Linked DNA regions of Mus musculus. The protein of the gene in region 2 purifies or fractionates together with the protein of the main gene of each other region. This does not show direct contact. Links are inferred from orthologs where the notes say so. Each region holds a gene or a part of one and is shown on either strand. Other genes may lie near its edges.

The links.
Region 1: the proteins of Slc31a1 (region 2) and Stx7 purify together in Homo sapiens (affinity purification with mass spectrometry; 3 studies listed by BioGRID and IntAct, counting the BioPlex papers as one, with this or other methods). This does not show direct contact. The link is inferred for Mus musculus from reciprocal best matches to the Homo sapiens genes SLC31A1 and STX7.

What each region holds. Positions count from the first base shown.
Region 1 is NC_000076.6:24,145,961-24,154,540, forward strand, and holds the start of Stx7 (syntaxin-7), read left to right. Parts: upstream 1-3,328; 5' UTR 3,329-3,448; exon of another isoform or gene 3,449-3,766; intron 3,767-8,580. UniProt on the Homo sapiens protein: May be involved in protein trafficking from the plasma membrane to the early endosome (EE) as well as in homotypic fusion of endocytic organelles. Mediates the endocytic trafficking from early endosomes to late endosomes and lysosomes.
Region 2 is NC_000070.6:62,384,830-62,393,309, reverse strand, and holds the end of Slc31a1 (high affinity copper uptake protein 1), read right to left. Parts: intron 7,819-8,480; 5' UTR 7,779-7,818; coding exon 7,632-7,778; intron 7,220-7,631; coding exon 7,147-7,219; intron 5,444-7,146; coding exon 5,275-5,443; intron 4,713-5,274; coding exon 4,511-4,712; 3' UTR 1,541-4,510; downstream 1-1,540.

The DNA.
Region 1 (8,580 bases), on a different chromosome or scaffold from region 2:
GTGGAAACTGTTTAAAAAGTAATGACAAAACAAAAAACAAAAACAAAAAAACCAGGTAGCTATGTTTGCTGTGTCTCCTAAGGTTTATGTGTTAAAGATGGAATTCCCAGTTCATACACGCCATGGCTAATCTCAACTATCAATTTAGTGAAATTGAGAATCACCTTGTAATAGGCCTTTGAGCATGCCTGTGGGAGACTGTCTTGATTTGATTAAGGGAGGTGGGAAGACCTGTCCACTATGGGTAACACCATTCCCTAAGCTGAAATCCTGGACCGGAGAGGTGAAAGTGAGGAGGGCACAGGCATTTGACAGTCCTTGCCACTACTGCCACTAGACATAATGTGACCAGCTGCTTCATGTTCCTGCTGCTGCTACGTCTTTGTCATGATAGATTGTAACTCAAAAATGTGAGTCAAAATAAAACCCTCCTTTAATTTGCTTTTGCCACAGTATTCATAGAGTCACAGGAAAAATAACTAAGATAATATGCTAACATTACTTAAAGGGTACCTAGGGAGTTACCTGGGATTAGGAACAATCATGAGGACATTAGCAGCTTTGAAGATTGCTGTCTTGTTATATGCTTCTTTAAACCTCAAAATGTCATATGTTTCATATTAAGTATAAAAACAGTCATAATGAAATATATTCAGAAATGTTGGATCAAATTAAGTCATGCTCATTTCTTTACTGAGCCATTAAATAGCCACTAAATAATAAAATACAGTACTACAATTGTCAGGAATGTCTTTGGGATCCATTTACTCTCTGAGCCTCTACGTTTAGCCGAGTATTATACTTAATTTTTCTCTTTGAATTAAAATGACTAGGAAGGAATCCAATTATTATACTTTTTAAAAAATGACAACTTGGAGCAATCTCAAAATTTGATTTGGAATGCCCAGCTTTGGCCCCAGTATAGCCAGTGACTAGTAGGACAACCTAGAGGTCTCTGAGTTCCAGGGCCCTCTCTACCCAGCCCAAGATTCCAGCAAGAGTGGTAGGGAAGGGCGTATGGAAAGCACGCTAGATATCAGGTCCATGTCACAAATCCTCTCTTTAGCTCTCCATACCCAGCTGTTGTACAAGTCTTCTTAAATATTTGTCACATTAACCTCACCCCTTCTCCATCTTATTTGCCTTAGTGGGGCCCTTCAACCTCTCCAGCCCTGATGAAGTTTTTTATGGAGGCCTGCTATTGTTACATTATGGGTATAGTATTGTTACATTATGGGCACGGTATTGTTACATTATGGGCATGATATTGTTACATTATTGCCTTTCTTCTTTGTAGTATTTCCCTTTAATTTTCTTCTCCCAGACTTTCCTATGTGGCAGGGAGTAAGAGAACTTAGTACCTTTCCTCAATATCTTGTAGTAGCTCAACTCCCATCAGTCATTTAACGTGGGACAGAGGCTATTTGCTTTAAGAATCTCATTTGCATTTTTAGGGTCTTGACTTTTGAGTTCACGCAACATGCTTTATCCAAATAAAGTAAACATTTACACATTATAAATTATACACATGAAAATAAACATGCACACTTCTTCTTTGGCTGAGATGTTCCTTTCCATGTTGTCTTCCAGTGAAACTTTTATATAACTTTTAAAAATTTCGTTCCTGTTTTTACTTCAAAAACCACTACTGACACTACAGCGAGGCAGTCATCTTTTGGGTTACCGCTAGGCTCTGTATAAATCTCCATCTCAGCATGTGGTGTCATGTGGAGGGTACCACTGCCAGATAGGAAAACACCATATTCTACTCAATTTGAAATCTGTAGTGCAAGGCTTGATAGTTGCTTCAGAATAGACTCTCAGCAGATATTAGTTGTCTGGATCCGGTGGCAGGAAGGATTCAAGAGTCTGGACAGGACACTTAAGGCTTTGTTGTTCCTAATTACCTGTGTGACTTAGAAGTGTTTGGTGTTTCAGGTTCCTTAATCTGTATTATGAGGAAACAGAACCAGATTTTCTAAAAGGGACTCTGTAGCTTTAACAGCTAACATGACTTTCTATTAGAGGTTATTGCCTTGTCAAAGAATGATTTTTAAAAATAAAACAATTTTGAAAAAGGGAGAGATTTCAAAGAAAAACTTGAATTTCCTCTGTATCTTGGAAAACATACAATGTCACTATGATGGACTAATACTTCTAAAAGTTCACAGTGGAGATGATAGGTAGAACTCAGGGGTAGATCAACTACCTGAAATGTGAGGCCTTGGGTTTGATCCCTCATTCCTCAAAACAAAACCACAAACAACCCGGGACAATGATACAGGTCTGTACTCTGAACGATGAGGCAGGTTGCAAGTTCAAGGTCTACCTGGATTACAGAGTGAGTTCAAGGTTAATATCTGGGTAACCTGTGTAGACTTTGTTTCAAAAACAACAACAACAACAACAAAAACCACTGGAGATAGAGGACAGAGTGAAGGCCTCTCATGTCCAAGGACCTTGGTTCAATTTCCAGTGCTGGACAAAACAGCAAACCTCAACAGTTCACCATGGCCCGAGCTGAATCACATGACTTTAAATGAGTACATGTTCTTTGATCCACTGGGTGGATCCTACTGAGAAGACGCTGTGTTTGAGTCTGACCTAAGTCATCTACGTATGCTTGCAGGTGTAAAACCAACCAACATACAGTTTGCTCTGTGGTTCTGATTCACAATAGTATGGATTCCCCCTACCTCCACTTGAAGTCTATCGAACTTTTGGTATCATGTGTTTTCATGCTCTTTCCAGAAATAACACCATCTTAATTATAGGCAAATCCAAGGCAATCTATTCTAATTAATTTGGCAAAGTATTTCTTTCACATGAACAACTGATGTTTCTCATCCGAGAGGTCACATGCTTGAAGAGTTATTGTTGGAACAGTGTGTGCTCTTAAAGCCTGGGAAAACCACATCCTGTATTTCAAGGATGCGATACCAACTATGAGCCAGGAAAACATCTTTATCAAGTGGGCATTAGGAGATTATCTTTCATTTATCCTTCCGGGGCTTTAGCTAGGATTGCCTTGACATTTTTGCAGTGACATTTTAAAAATGGAGTTGTCAAGTCTACCACAGAGCTGAGGGTTAGGAAACAGAACCTTTAAAAGCTGAGAGTGCTCCCTCAGTCCAGGGAGTCTGGCGCCTCCGAATAAAGAACCCAGCTCTTCTCTATTGTATTGCTTCCTCTTCTGTTGCCCATAGACATCACTTTGTCACCCATCAGAGCTTGGCTCCCCAGCAATTTTGCCAGTCCCTCCAAGCTTCAGCTGTCACTGGCCAATGGGAGAGACGCAAGCCCCGCCTCCTCCTTCCTGGGGCTGTGCCCCGAGCATGCGCAGTGGGCGTGCTTGTGCCGCCGCCCATCAGCTGAGACCGGCTGCGCCAGGCAGTGGGCCCCCGGGTGACAGCGGCTGGAGGTGGCCGAGGAAGCCGGCGAGGTCAGGGTAAGAGGAGACTGCAGAGGCGGGGGAGAGGGGGGCGGGAGGGACACCTCAGAACTGCAGCTCGCTAGTGGTTGCTTTGGGGTGCGCAGAGCGGGGCTCCCCAGGGCGCAGGGCCGGCGCCTCCCTCTCGGGCTCCCACGCCCCGCTCCGGACTCCGGGACGCGACGTGCGAGCACCGGGGCGCGCGGCAATGGAGCCTTGGGGACCGGATACTACCGCCAGATCCTGGCAGGCTACGACCGTGTTCCCATTCTCTGTCAACTTCTCCTCCGAAGAACAGAAAGGGAAACGCGATGGGCCCTGGTCATCTGGCCACAGGTTCGTTCCGCGGCCCAGGGCCTTTGCTTGGCTGTTGGCCTTACTCACACAAGCTAACTTTCTTTGACCTACCTTGTGCTCGTTTCAATTGATTTATGCAAGACACATAACAAGGTAACAAGGTATTTCGAGAATTCGCATATGTGTTTTCTAGGTTAAATTCAGACCAAAAAAAAAAAAAAAGCTTGGACGAGGGTGGGAAGAGGAAGGAAGCTTTACAGTCAAATGCTAATTTTTCCTTATAGCTGTTAAAATTTTGCTTGCATTTTATATGCATATATCAATTTTTGATTGCGTCAGATCTCGTATTTTGTCAGGAATTATTATTTACAAGTTTTCCACAATCAGGAAAATAAAAGGAATTAACTGTGAAACACTGGTTTGGTCCTGTTGGAGGTAGGCATTTCTTTTAGGTGTACTCTGAGCCGCAGTGAACAGAGATTGATAACACTGTTAAATTGTGCCTTGTGGTGCCGATGGGTCTTCGGCTTTGCAAGCTGCTTTCGAAGTTGGCCCCCAGGCTTGTGACTAGTTAAGAACGAGGCTGTAGTTTCCCAGTGTCTGGGGAAGTTAATAGAACACAGTATTAACTCACTGACCTCTGGGTTCTTTTCCTTCAGCTAGCTCACTTCTTATGCTGCTCCTGATTAACAGTCGTTTCTAATTCTGATTATTATCCCAAGTTCATCCATACGCTGCTGGTGGAAAATTATGAATAATTATGTTGAGCTATATGCCACTAAATGGTGTGTGCACAAGGCCCTGGTTCAGTCCCCAGTACTGCAGGGAAATATTACCTCTATGTCTACTAGTACTGCTAGATAAAACTCCCACAGTTAAGTCTGTGTGGATTTTTCTCTGGTTCAGTGTAACTTGAAATATTAATGTGTGAAACTGTGGAGGAAAAAAAATCTTGGTTAATTAAGCTGAAACCAAACAGTGTAGCGTTTGGATTGATGAAGGAGCTGGGCAAAGATGCACTTGTGGACCGAATACTCATATGGAAGATTGAGCACCCTCATGATTGATTGTCTCCTATGATTCCTCTCCTGTTTGTTTTAGGAATTGAAAACAAAGAGTGTGAATGCTCCCATCTTCTAAGTATGATGCATCGCTTGAAGTAGAAGTTACATTGATAGAGACTTCTCATTTCAGACCTGGCATCTTTAGTGTGTGATAACACCTTACTGAGACAAAGAGCTAGTCCTCAAAGGGGCTGGGTGTGTATCATGGAAAGGGCCATCTACAGATAGAAAGGGACACTGAGAAAAGCCCAGGTAGCAATAAGCCTGAAACAGTATTTTAGAAATGTTTATATTTACTCTTAGGCTGGGCATGTGTTCATAGGAAATCGGTACACTTGTTCATTCAGACTTACAACATTTATTCAGGATCTACTTTGTAGCCAAGTACTTAGAGAATAGACTAAGTCCAAGATTTACACTCCCCCACACACCACACATACACACACACACAAACACACACATACACACAGCACACACACACACCATACACACACTCCACACGTACACACCACACCCCACACACACATATACACCACACACGCAATACACTGCACACACATACCACACACACTCACACACCATACACACACATCATACACACCACACACACACACACACACACACACACACACACACACACACACAAAAATTAAAACCTGGGGAACAAAGGAGGAAACTCATATTTTATGCTGGGCTTCATGATTAAGAAAGTGAAACTGACCATTTGATTTGAGCAGGCTAAATTTTAAGCCAGTGTCTGCTCAGAGGAAGTCTTCAAGATTCTACAGTATGTCCATTAGTAACTACAGGGTAGTGTTTTACATTCAAGACTCTGTATCAAAATCCCCTTTGTTCATTTTTAAATTGCCCTTTCCACACAGTCTTGAGACAGCGCTCACTATAGGTGTTACTGTTTGACTCTCCCGTCTCCTCTTTCACCTTAGTGTTTATCTTCATAAAAAGATAATTACTGAGCTGTTGAGTTGAACCCTGCCCAGTAGTACTTTCTGTGGGGGATGAAGGGAATATGTGAGCTGTCCCAGCTGCTGGCCACTGGCCACATACAGTTTCTTAGCACTTGAAAGGTGGCCGAGGTGGCCTTCTTCTACCTTAGTTCATTTTGATAGTTGTGTGCAGGCAGTGCAGGTGCACATGAGGAGTGATGTAATTATTTTGAGCAAAGACACTAGGACACAAATGCTTTGAGTATTGCAGCTCAAGCTAGGCAATGCAGATGGTTATAGAGTACAAACATTTTATAAGCATAGAGTTAATTAGCTCACATGTAAAAACAGACTTCAGAGCCATTTGTCAATAACTGTCTATAAACATAAGTGTTTATTTCTTTCCAACAAAGGTAACCACTGTCCTGGTTGTTCTGTGTTTTATCTGAAGAGCCAACTCTTATCTTTTAAACGTCATCATAGCCTAACAGGACAGAAAGGGAGAGTGCCACTCAGAAGTGTTACCTCCATCCAGGCTTGTTTCCTTGATGTGAAGAAATTACCCCTGGGCCTGCAGCAAGGTAGCAAGTTTGGTTGTGTAGTTGCCCAGGTCCACCTGTGCTAAGTTGTTCTACAGAAGCAATGGGGTTTAGTCTAGTGTTTGTGACAATGTGAGCTTCCAGATTTACTTTCAGAGTTTAAATCCTCTGTTCATCTCAGCAATGCCTCCATTTCTTTGTGAAAAACTACAGTAGCAGTTATGCCTCCTGCAGAGCCTTTCGACATTGAGGGACACAGCCATAAAAGTCACCACATACAGGAAATTCCTTTCTCAAATTCCTGTTCACCACTCGAGACAGAACCGGGGTGGTCATCTCCATACCCCTTCTCTAGGTAGGTAAGCTACACATAGATGAAAAGGGGAAGCTCTTAGAATGGGTGAAGCCCACATGTCTCACCAACAGCCGCATCCTCTAGTTTGCTTGGGTACAGAGATGAGAACAGCTGGCTGTGCATGTGACTGTCTGACTTAAATTATGGGAAGAAAAAAAACCCTTTAAAGGAAAACACTGAGAAGCTTTGGACTATATGTGTATGAATTTTGAGAAGAGAAAGCTGGAATCCTTTGCAAGAATTAACGGTATTCTGACATTAGTCTCTGTGTGAGGGGTGTAGGTTCAGGGCAGTTTATGGCTGCATGCCTCTGATGAGAGCCCACAGGTGCAGGAGCACATCAGACCTGTCCTCTGTGTACAGTAACAAAGCACTTGGTCCCATTATCTTATTTTGATCTTGGCAGGAGGCCCAGATGCTAAGGATCTTGCCCAAGGTAGAGATTTCTGGTTGCCAGTTATCCTGGCAACTGAACAGTCAGGTGATGAGTTCTAGTAACTTCAAAGATATAGGAGAGAGGGAGGGAGGAAGGGAAGGAGAGGGAGAGGGAGGGGAAGGGGGAGGGGGAGGGAGAGAGGGAGGGAGAGGGAGGGGAGAGAGAGAGAGAGAGAGAGAGAGAGAGAGAGAGAGAGAGAGAGAAAACATTAAAGGTGTCTTTTGTAGGTAGAGATGTGAGACTTATTCGTGCCCATGGTTACAGGAGAAGTTACTCACAGGGTGTTGGTGTAAACTGAGAGCACTTTTAGAAGCCTGATGATGCCACTGATCCAAGAGAAAATTGTCTTTATCCATTTAGTATATTATTTGTCAATAAAAGGCATTGAGATACTCACAGATCCTACAAGGATCTTGAAAATACATAGAAGACAAACAAGTCAGTCACAGAGAAAACACACACACACACACACACACACACACACATACATATATAAAACATTCCACTCATGTGAAACATCTAGAATACAAAAACATACCAAGTGGATTAATGGTTCTAATGGCTGAAAGGTTGGGCACAAACAGGAGATGAAAAATGATGGGAAAGAACTTTCTTCTCAGAGTAATATGCATTATAAAAGTCACACATTGATTATCACAGACCTTTGTTATCACATTAAAACCATTGGATTATATGATCTGAATGGTTACAGTTGTATATGAATTATATCTTAATAAAGACCTGTTTTAAAAGGATGGGATTAGCAAAATGGCTCAGCAGGTAAGGGCACTTGTTCCTCAGCCTGATGACCTGAGGTTAGTCTCCAGGGCACACATGGTGGGAGGGGAGAAACAGCTCTGGAAAGTTGTTCTTTGGATGTGATAGGGTGTTTCCCAGAGGGAGGGAAACCGGGATAACATTTGAAATGTAAATAAAGAAAATAGCCAAGAAAAAAAAAAAAAGAAATTGTTCTTTGGTCTTGATGCACTCACAGTAGCATGTGTGTCACACACACACACACACACACACACACAATGTAAAGATATAATTGATTTGTAGACTGCATAGAACGTTGCCAGGGAAGTTGATGCTGCAGGCTAAAGCTTGAGTTTGAGATTGAGCACAAGCTAAGTGGCTCCTGTGCTGGGATTGCAGGTATAGAACATGACACCTAGCTTTTCAGAACTGCCCTACTCAGTTTCGCCCAGCTCTTTCCATGGCTGCAGTCCTAACTCAATGCTTCCCAGAAGGCAGCTTATTCCTGCTACACTGCCATCGGGGGCCAGCTGTTAGTTACGTTTTTGACTTTGCTTTTAAGTTGGTTGAGTCTATATCCTCGACCTGGTTTGTGTAGAGCAAGGACGGAGAGTGGAGAAGACACCAGAGCTCCTGAGACTGTCTGATGTCCAGGGACATCCCATGATGCGCAGAGCCTGCTGTACCAGCTCGGCTACTCTGTTTCCTCCCAGCACTGTCCCCCTGTGCCTTCCCTGCACTCGGGTTCTTTGTAGATTC
Region 2 (8,480 bases):
AGAGGGCATCAGATCTCATTACGGGTGGTTTTGAGCCACCATGTGGTTGCTGGGATTTGAACTCAGGACCTTCAGAAGAGCAGTCGGTGTTCTTAACCACTGAGCCACCTCTCCAGCCCTATGCTTTCTTATTAACAGAATGAGACAATTATTCATCAGTAGACCAGGACTTACTGCAATTGCTAATCTTTTTTGGGCATACCTAAATTATATGTATCAATGCTGTGTTCCTTAGGATCTGTTTGTTTCGGGACTACCAGCACCCAGGAGGTCACTTTATTCAGAAGAGTGACCTTTCATTTTCCTGAAGCCTTCAGGTGTAATATAATCAGTACACAGGAAAAATGTAGTAAGGCTTGGGTGCCTGTCTTGTGTGGGATGCCTTATCTGTATTACTCTTAATTTAAATAGGTGCTAGTACTTCTTTGTGTGTATGCACATGCAGGGCATGCTAGGGATTGGACCTAGAGCTTAGAAAGGCATACGAGGCAAGCTCTCAACCAACTGAGCTACACCCATAGCCATTTGTTTTTGCAACAGAGTCCCTCGCTGTGCAGAATCCCAGGCCCACCTGCAATTATACCCACCTGCAGTCCTCTCTGTCTCTATCTTTATAGCTGGTTCCGAGATCCCTGCTGCTACAGGGAGAGACAGAAGCTGTGGAGTGTCTGTAAACACCACACCCAGGTGTCAGGATTATACTTCATTTCCTTTGACTTACAGACCAGGTTGCTAGACTCTAGGATAGTAGAGGGGCTCCGGTGGGACACATTTGCCATCTGTATGTACCTCTCCTCCTTATTTCCCCTATATCCTGAGTGGCACATTCTTTTAGAATTCCCTCCCTTCTCTCTGCCACAGAAAGCAGAGGTAGACTTACTGGTGTTAGGGCCTGAGCTCTCTGAGCTGCTCATGCTGCTGTCTGTGTTTTTATGGTATTAATAAACTTCTGGCCCAAAAGGAAAATTCACCTGTTTTCCCTTGAACCCCCAAACTGAAGACCTTTCACTAAGTAGTCCAGGTCTTTCCTCATGATCATTCTGCTTCAACGTCAAACACTGGAAGGACAGGTATGTGTCACCACACTTGACTATCAATGGCTTTGAGACAGTTAGGATAGCAGTTCCTATGTGGTGTAGCCTAGATTTGAGCCAGCTGTCCCCAAAGGTGATGTTTACCACAGCATTGCAGAAGAGGTGATGATGGGCCAGCGGTTAGACCACTAACAGTAATACTTCCCCTCTGCTACAGGGATGGGCACAGTCTGCCCGGGAGCCTCCTGGAAGCTAGTGCTGCCGCCTAATGGCATGAACACAGGGGTTATGAACTACGGATGAAAGGCGGCAAAGGTTAGTTTCTGAACTTAAGAATCGCTCCTATACTGAAATATTTGCTGCTATGTGCTATGCACAAGGTCATGCTGACCCTGTGGCAGGCACCAGGTCTGCTTAAGAGTGGCAGGAGAGCAACAAGGCCATGCCATGGAGGAGACTGACGTCCCAGAACCAGCTTATTTGGACAGTGTGTAGACAGACATGCATAGAATCACGAAAATCAAAATATTTATTTTGTTTTCTTGCACACAACACTTAAACATTCCCATTACAGCAACCCTGCTCTCCGGGAGCTTACAGTCTCTGAGACAGTCAACGTGAATGTGGCCCCAGTAATTAAGGCATTACATCAAATGCAGACCTGTTGTTTGGATGCATCTTTTGAAGAGGCTGGAAAGGGCAGGCACAAGATTAAATGGCATGATGGACACTGTGCCTCACTCTCCTGATTCTAATGAGGAAGCGAAGGCCACGGCCTGGAAGGGAGTGTGGGAGGGACAGCCCTGCGCACAGGAGCAGTGAGGAGACTGATGGATGCCGAGGAGGTTCCTGATGAGGGCAGTGGCTGCTGAGTACTCTTCCATCTTGGACTGCAGTTAGTACTTAAGATCTGTAATTCTGCTAACCCTTTACCCAGCTTTATAGAAATTCCAGTGGAGCAACTGCTTCTTGAAGCAAATTTAAGACCTCTACTTGCTTTGTAAATACAAAGTTCTAATTATTAGGTAAAATAACCTCAGCAATAGCCATGCTACTGCATCAGGATGGTGAGAGAGATGTTAAACACTAAGCTACCTGGGAAAAAAGTCAGAGAGGGAAAAGTAGGGCAGGGGCTAAAGACACTCAGCTATAGCTTTCCCACAGATGAAAGGAGACATTTAGATAAAATAAACACAAAGGCTGGGCATTGAAGTTCATGAGGATGGGACTTAGGCTTACCTCTGTTCTGCACTAACCGCAGTCTCTAGCAACCTAGCGCAGGGATCTTAAGTTTAGGATTTGCAGCAGACTATTTCTACTCGGAAGCTACCCTGAAGAACCATGCCAAACTGAGGTTTCTCTTGGTTTCAGATTCATAGCACCTTGTTCCTACGGGCCTTGGTTCTTTTCACCTCAACGATAAGGTCCCGATTCTGACAGTTTATGCATTACTTTTAGGGGCCTGACATAAGCTAGGTAAGTGACTCACACCAGAGCTGCATCTCAGCCCCTGAAAGGTGTTTTATAGCAGCTCATTTGGAGATTCTAGAGAGCACCAGGGTTACCACTAAGTGTGGTTTCTGGATTCCCCTGGGTTTATTATTCCATGGCTTCTGATATGACAAACAGGCTATTTGCACCTTAATGTTGGGCTGTCAGTACCTGTCATTCACTGCAGGATGAACTCAGAGAAAAGCAAAGCTCTAAAGTTGATTTCTAAGAATTTTAGACTCCATCCAGTAGGCTTAAAACCTTTTCTTGGTTCAAAGCCACCAAAGTACACATTCCTTGTTCTCTAATATGTAATTGGCACACACAGAGGAGAAAGTACACACTTCAAAACTGAAACACTGGGCCAACAAGACAGCAGGTTTGTTTCTTCTGCTCTGAGGCACAACTGGATCTAGCACCAAAGAGGGCAGGATTGAACAGACCAGCATAGGAAGAATCGCTTTAAAGAGGTAGTGTGGGAACAAGCCTGCATGTAGATTAATGATTGACAGGACGTCCAATGAGATCCTTCATTGAGAAAGGGGTCTTGGCCACTGTAATCTATGTAAATCCCCGTAAATGATAAAGGTGGTCAAGTAGTGGATGGGGACCTACATAGTGCACACTGAGAACAACTGGCTATTGGCAGACACATGCCCCATGTCTCTCCAAACAAGAAAGCTGGGTTTTTGCCTTTCTGGGCTTTTGACTGGCTGACTCACACAGCAGAGCAAAGGTCTCTTGGCCTTCAAATAACTTCCAAGGAACCTTAGATCTTTAAAAGTTAGGACTAGAGACTTCGTATATGTTGACAAGTATACTTTGGCTGTAATCCCACACACTGTATGTGGGTATACATAAAACATATTTGGAAGTGAATAAATGTTTGTGGAATGATAAAGTATCGACCAGCAGCATTTAGATGTGACATGTGCCCAAGGCATACCACCTACTAACCAGCAATTCACATGTTCATGCCTGATAGCAGGTAGCCCCACCCTCTGTCCCTTCTAGGTGCAACTTTTCTAGTTTAATGCAGAGACTCTTAAGGTAATCCTCTGGACTGACTGTGAGTAGAACATCACCTAGGAACTTAGAAATGCCAAATTTGGTGGTTCTGGGGTTGAGGTCCACCAAGTAGTGTCTTAACAAGCCCTCTGGGTGATTCTGAAGCTGTAAAGTTTGAAAATCATTGGTTTCAAGGAACACACACACAATACAAACTCTTATTCAGTTGGGACAAACCAAGGTACTGAGTCAAAGTAAAATACTAATGGTTTTATTTAACAATCTCTATTTCTGTTGTCTTAAATTGATTGTCCTGTTTTTGTTTTGATTGGCAAGTTCATTCTGATCAAATGTTCAATAGGAACACAAGTTGATGACTGAGCAGGAATACAGACTCATAGACGCTAGGCCTGTGTTTAGTCCCTACCCACTCTGTACACACTACACAGGTTTCAGTGTAACCTGGAGAGAGGAACATGTGTTTCCCATTCACTGAGTTAAGACTGGAGCTCATTTCTAGTGTGAAATTTAAGTCCCGGTTGGATGAGATGTCCCTAAGTGCCATCAATCCTGTTACAATCCTTTTTTATCACTGACCCAGAATCCCACCTATCAAATACACATATCTGTTTAAAACAAAATGTATCCCACTCCCCCCGCAAATAAAACAAAACAAAACAAATCAAAACCTGGAGAAGTAAAAAGAAGCAGATAACCAAGTCTTTAACTAGGAAGCTACCTGGATTAGATAAGGCTCAGGATGATGAGGGAGAAGACATCTCACAGGTGACTTCCCAAGAGAAAAAAATCTCATCTTATTAGAAAAACCACTATTCAGAGACTGTCAGCTAGGCTTCTATTCAGTAGGTGTGTATGTATAGACAGGAGAGAGAAGGGATGATTGGAAAGGGAATCATATCTTCCAGTCCCAAGATGCTTCCTACAGCAATTAATAAGGCCATATGTGGAGTCTGATATCAATGGCAGTGCTCTGTGATGTCCACCACCACTGCCTTCTTCCAGCTGAAGAGAAAGTATCCCGTCCCAGCCCCTGCTGCTACTGCAATGCATAGGTACCCATTGTAGGTCATGAAGATGAGCATGAGGAAGTAGCTGATGACTACCTGGATGATGTGCAGCACTGTCTGCAGGAGGTGGGGGAAGCTCAGCATCTGCTGCCTGGGGATAAGCAGAGAAGGAGAGTCAGACCTGGGCACCTGCAGCTCAGGAGAACAGCCTAACTGGACTGCAGCACGGCTATCCTGGAAACTGACGCCCGCACGCACACATCTGTAAAGAACTTTTGATTTTTCCTTGAGACAGGGTCTCATGAGCCCAAGCTGGTCTCAAATTCACTGTGTAGCCAAGGATAGCCTTGAATTCTGGTCCTCCAGCCTTCTCCAAGTGCTGGGACTACCGGCATCCATCATATCTGATTAGATTTAACTCGACAGGAAGGAATCAATCGCATTCTGCCATTCTTTTATATCTTAACTATATCTTAAAATGCCCATTACTACATAGCAAATATTTTAAAAACCAGATACTGTTAAACTTCTTTCAGAGTGACACTTACAACATAGAACAAACGTGTATGTGCTTTTGCAGGATCCCAAATACCATAGCCCACAACCTGGAACTTCTAAAGTTAGAATCACCAACTCCGGAAGAAGAAGGCCTGCCTTACTACATTACTAAGAGATCTCTAGAATTTCCCTTTGGATCTGTTGCATCTTCTTACCCAACAGTTTTGTGTGTCTCCATTAGGATGGTTCCATTTGGTCCTGGGACAGGCATGGAATTGTAGCGAATGCTGACTTGAGACTTTCGAAGCAGACCCTCTCGGGCTATCTTGAGTCCTTCATAAAACATTGCTAGTAAAAACACTGCCACGAAGGCTCCAGCCATTTCTGAGGAAAAAAGGACAGGACGGGAAAGGGGAGGGGAGGAAGAGAGAAAAGAAGGAAGAGGTGACGGTACAGTCAAAACTTAGTGAGCATACTGCTGGTCGGTCACATTGGCACTGGCCTATGATTCCAGTGCTCAGGAGGCTGGGGCAGAAAATGACAAGTACACAATTAGCCTGTGCTACATGGCAAGGCATAACTCAAACCAAACCAAACAGAAAAAGCATCAGGCTCAGTTTGTGAATAAACTGCATGGTTGTGTTTCTACCCACTCAGTGGAGCTGAGCCATTAACAACAGTCTCTGCCTCTGCTCAGGATCATACTTTCTGATTATATACAGAATACTGAAAGAAGGAACAGCCAACTGTTGTCTTATTGTTTAACAGGACTTTGTTGTGTAGCCCAGGTTGATCTTGGCCTCCTGAGCAATGGGATTAAAGGTGCACACTATCACATCAGCTAAAACAACCTGCTTTTACAAGTGCTGCCTCTATATTTTGAATAGGCATTTTAAGGGATTATGCATATATAGCTAAGCATTGATAAGATAAATGTATTTATAGTGTATTTATATGATACACTAACAGGACTAACGCTTTCTCTTCCACTCCCAAAAGCAAACTAGGTTATTTCCAAAATAAGTTTGGTACCTAATGCAGTTTAGGTGCCTATTAAACTCATGCAACTGCAGTTTAAATGTAAAGCATACCAATCTATGATAGATACAGAAAGATAAATGACAGCTACCTTAAAAGGAAGTGAGGCTCCATGATATGCCAAGCATCAGGGATATGGAAACCATCATTTGATGCAGCAGAGAGAGCACTGGTTTAGAGAGTTCTAGAAAGTATGGTCCTGGTTTTAGCTCTGAGATACTAACTGTGTGATTCAGGGAACAACATTTCTACTACACGAGGCTTAGGTTTATCTGTAAACAGGTAGTTATGAGATTAACACTATTGTTTTTGGAGGCAGCATCTATGCCTGAACTCTCTATGAGCTGGCCTTGAACTCACAAAGATCTTCCTGCCTCTGCCTCTCAGTTTTTAACCTTGGGTTATACTGTGATATTTGAGTATGCTTATAGTCTTAGGCCTAGGATCAATAATTTAACAAACAAGAAAAGGATTGAAAAAGATCTTTATCTGGAGCTTAGCAATGGTGTCACACACCTTTAATCCCAGCACTTGGAAGGCAGAGGCAGGCGGATTTCTGAGTTTGAGGCTAGCCTGATCTACAGAGTGAGTTCTAGGCCAGCCAGGGCTACACAGAGAAACCCTGTCTCAGAAAAAAAAAAACCAAAAACAACAACCCCCCCCCAAAAAACCCAAAAAAACCCAACAACAACAAAAAACCAACTAACCCCCCACCCCACCCCCAAAAAAAGAAAAAAGATCTTTATCTGGCATTTTAATTATATAGTCTTAGGCCTAGGATCAGTAACTTAGCAAACAAGAAAAGAATTGAAAAAGATCTTTATCTGGCATTTTAATTATATATTAGTGCTCCAAACCATATACATAAAGGAAGCTCACTGGAGGAGCAAAACTGTGTTGCCTCTTCTGCCTAGGGTCTAGGAATTGTGATGTTATGTAGCACAACCATACAGACCCAGTGACGGAACAGAGAGGTGCCAGGTTTCTAAATCTACATCATCATCTCTCATGACATTGTCATCTTCGAAGGTTATCTGATGGTTACTCACCTCCAGGTGTATTGATTACCAAACCGGAAAACAATAGATTCACATTCTTAAAGTCAAAGTAGAAGGTCATAGGCTGCCAGAAAACCAAACAAGTCAGTTAGAGAAGGCTGAGGACCCTAATGGGAATGATCTAAGAGTCTGCAAACAGTTAAAGGTAACCTCAGGATTAGAAGTACTCAAAGCAGTGGGAGGCTTTACCACCTTGGCACTAAGAGTGCATCCCTCCCCCCCCCCCCGCCCCGCCCCCAATCTCATGTCTTTCTCTTTTGTACACGTATCACAAACCAAACACTAGGATTTAATTCAGGAAAAGGTGAATTTCAAAAGGATTAGGGAAGAAAGGATTGTAGAAAATGTTGGGTTTGGTGTCACTCTGTAACAAGCCTGCCACATGAACGCTGGTAAGTCTCTAGACTCACTGGGTGTATGTGTGTGTGCGTGCTGTGGTTTCCCTCTTGGGTAACCCCCGAGTGTGTGACTCTTACCATCATCATCATGCTGTCCCCTCCACCGTGGGAGTGTGAGGCTGAGGTGGTCGGGTGGTGGTGAGGTGGCATGGTAATGTTGTCGTCCGTGTGGTTCATACCCATATGGTGGTGCATCTCCATATGGTTCATCCCCATATGGTTCATTGCCAGTTTTCCAGAAAAAGATGAGATTCAGTGGAAAAGTCTTTCAAGAAAAACAACATAGAATTTTCTTGATAAATACTTTGTCTACACAGAATTTTGCCCAAATGAACAAAAGCTCTCCTAGACGCACAGCAACTTGGACTAAGAATCACCTTTGAGAAGAAGGACCAAGGGCTTGTCCTGAAGGCTTGAGATCTCGTTCCTTAATCTGCAGTTACTCCTCTAAGACACAGATTAAGTGTGTGTTTAATTTAAGGTAGAAAAACCCAGCCCCTTCAGATGGCAGGAAATAGATAATTTGTAATAATGTATAAGTATAAGCCACTAACAAAATGCAATTGCTCTAAGGCTGTTTAATCATAAACAGCAGTAGATAAAAGCCAAGGCTTCAGATACGTCTTCTAATTGGGGTGGCTGTGTTTAACCAGGATGTTCAGATTCCACTTAGGCTTAGAGGACAATCAACTTAGAGCTCATTTAAATCTGGAGAAAGGTCTGTTGCTGCCGTAGGCAAAGAGCGTGCCCAGACCTCAGAGACAGTTTCAGACGCACCAGGACATTAGAGTTAAGAACATGAAAAACAAGGTATAAATTGGATGAATATATTAAATTAGGTTTGGACAGTGCATATTCAGCCTTGTATCTTTGCATCACGTTAATGCTTTTCTACAGAGGTCTAAATGGGTCAAGGGGCAGTAACTC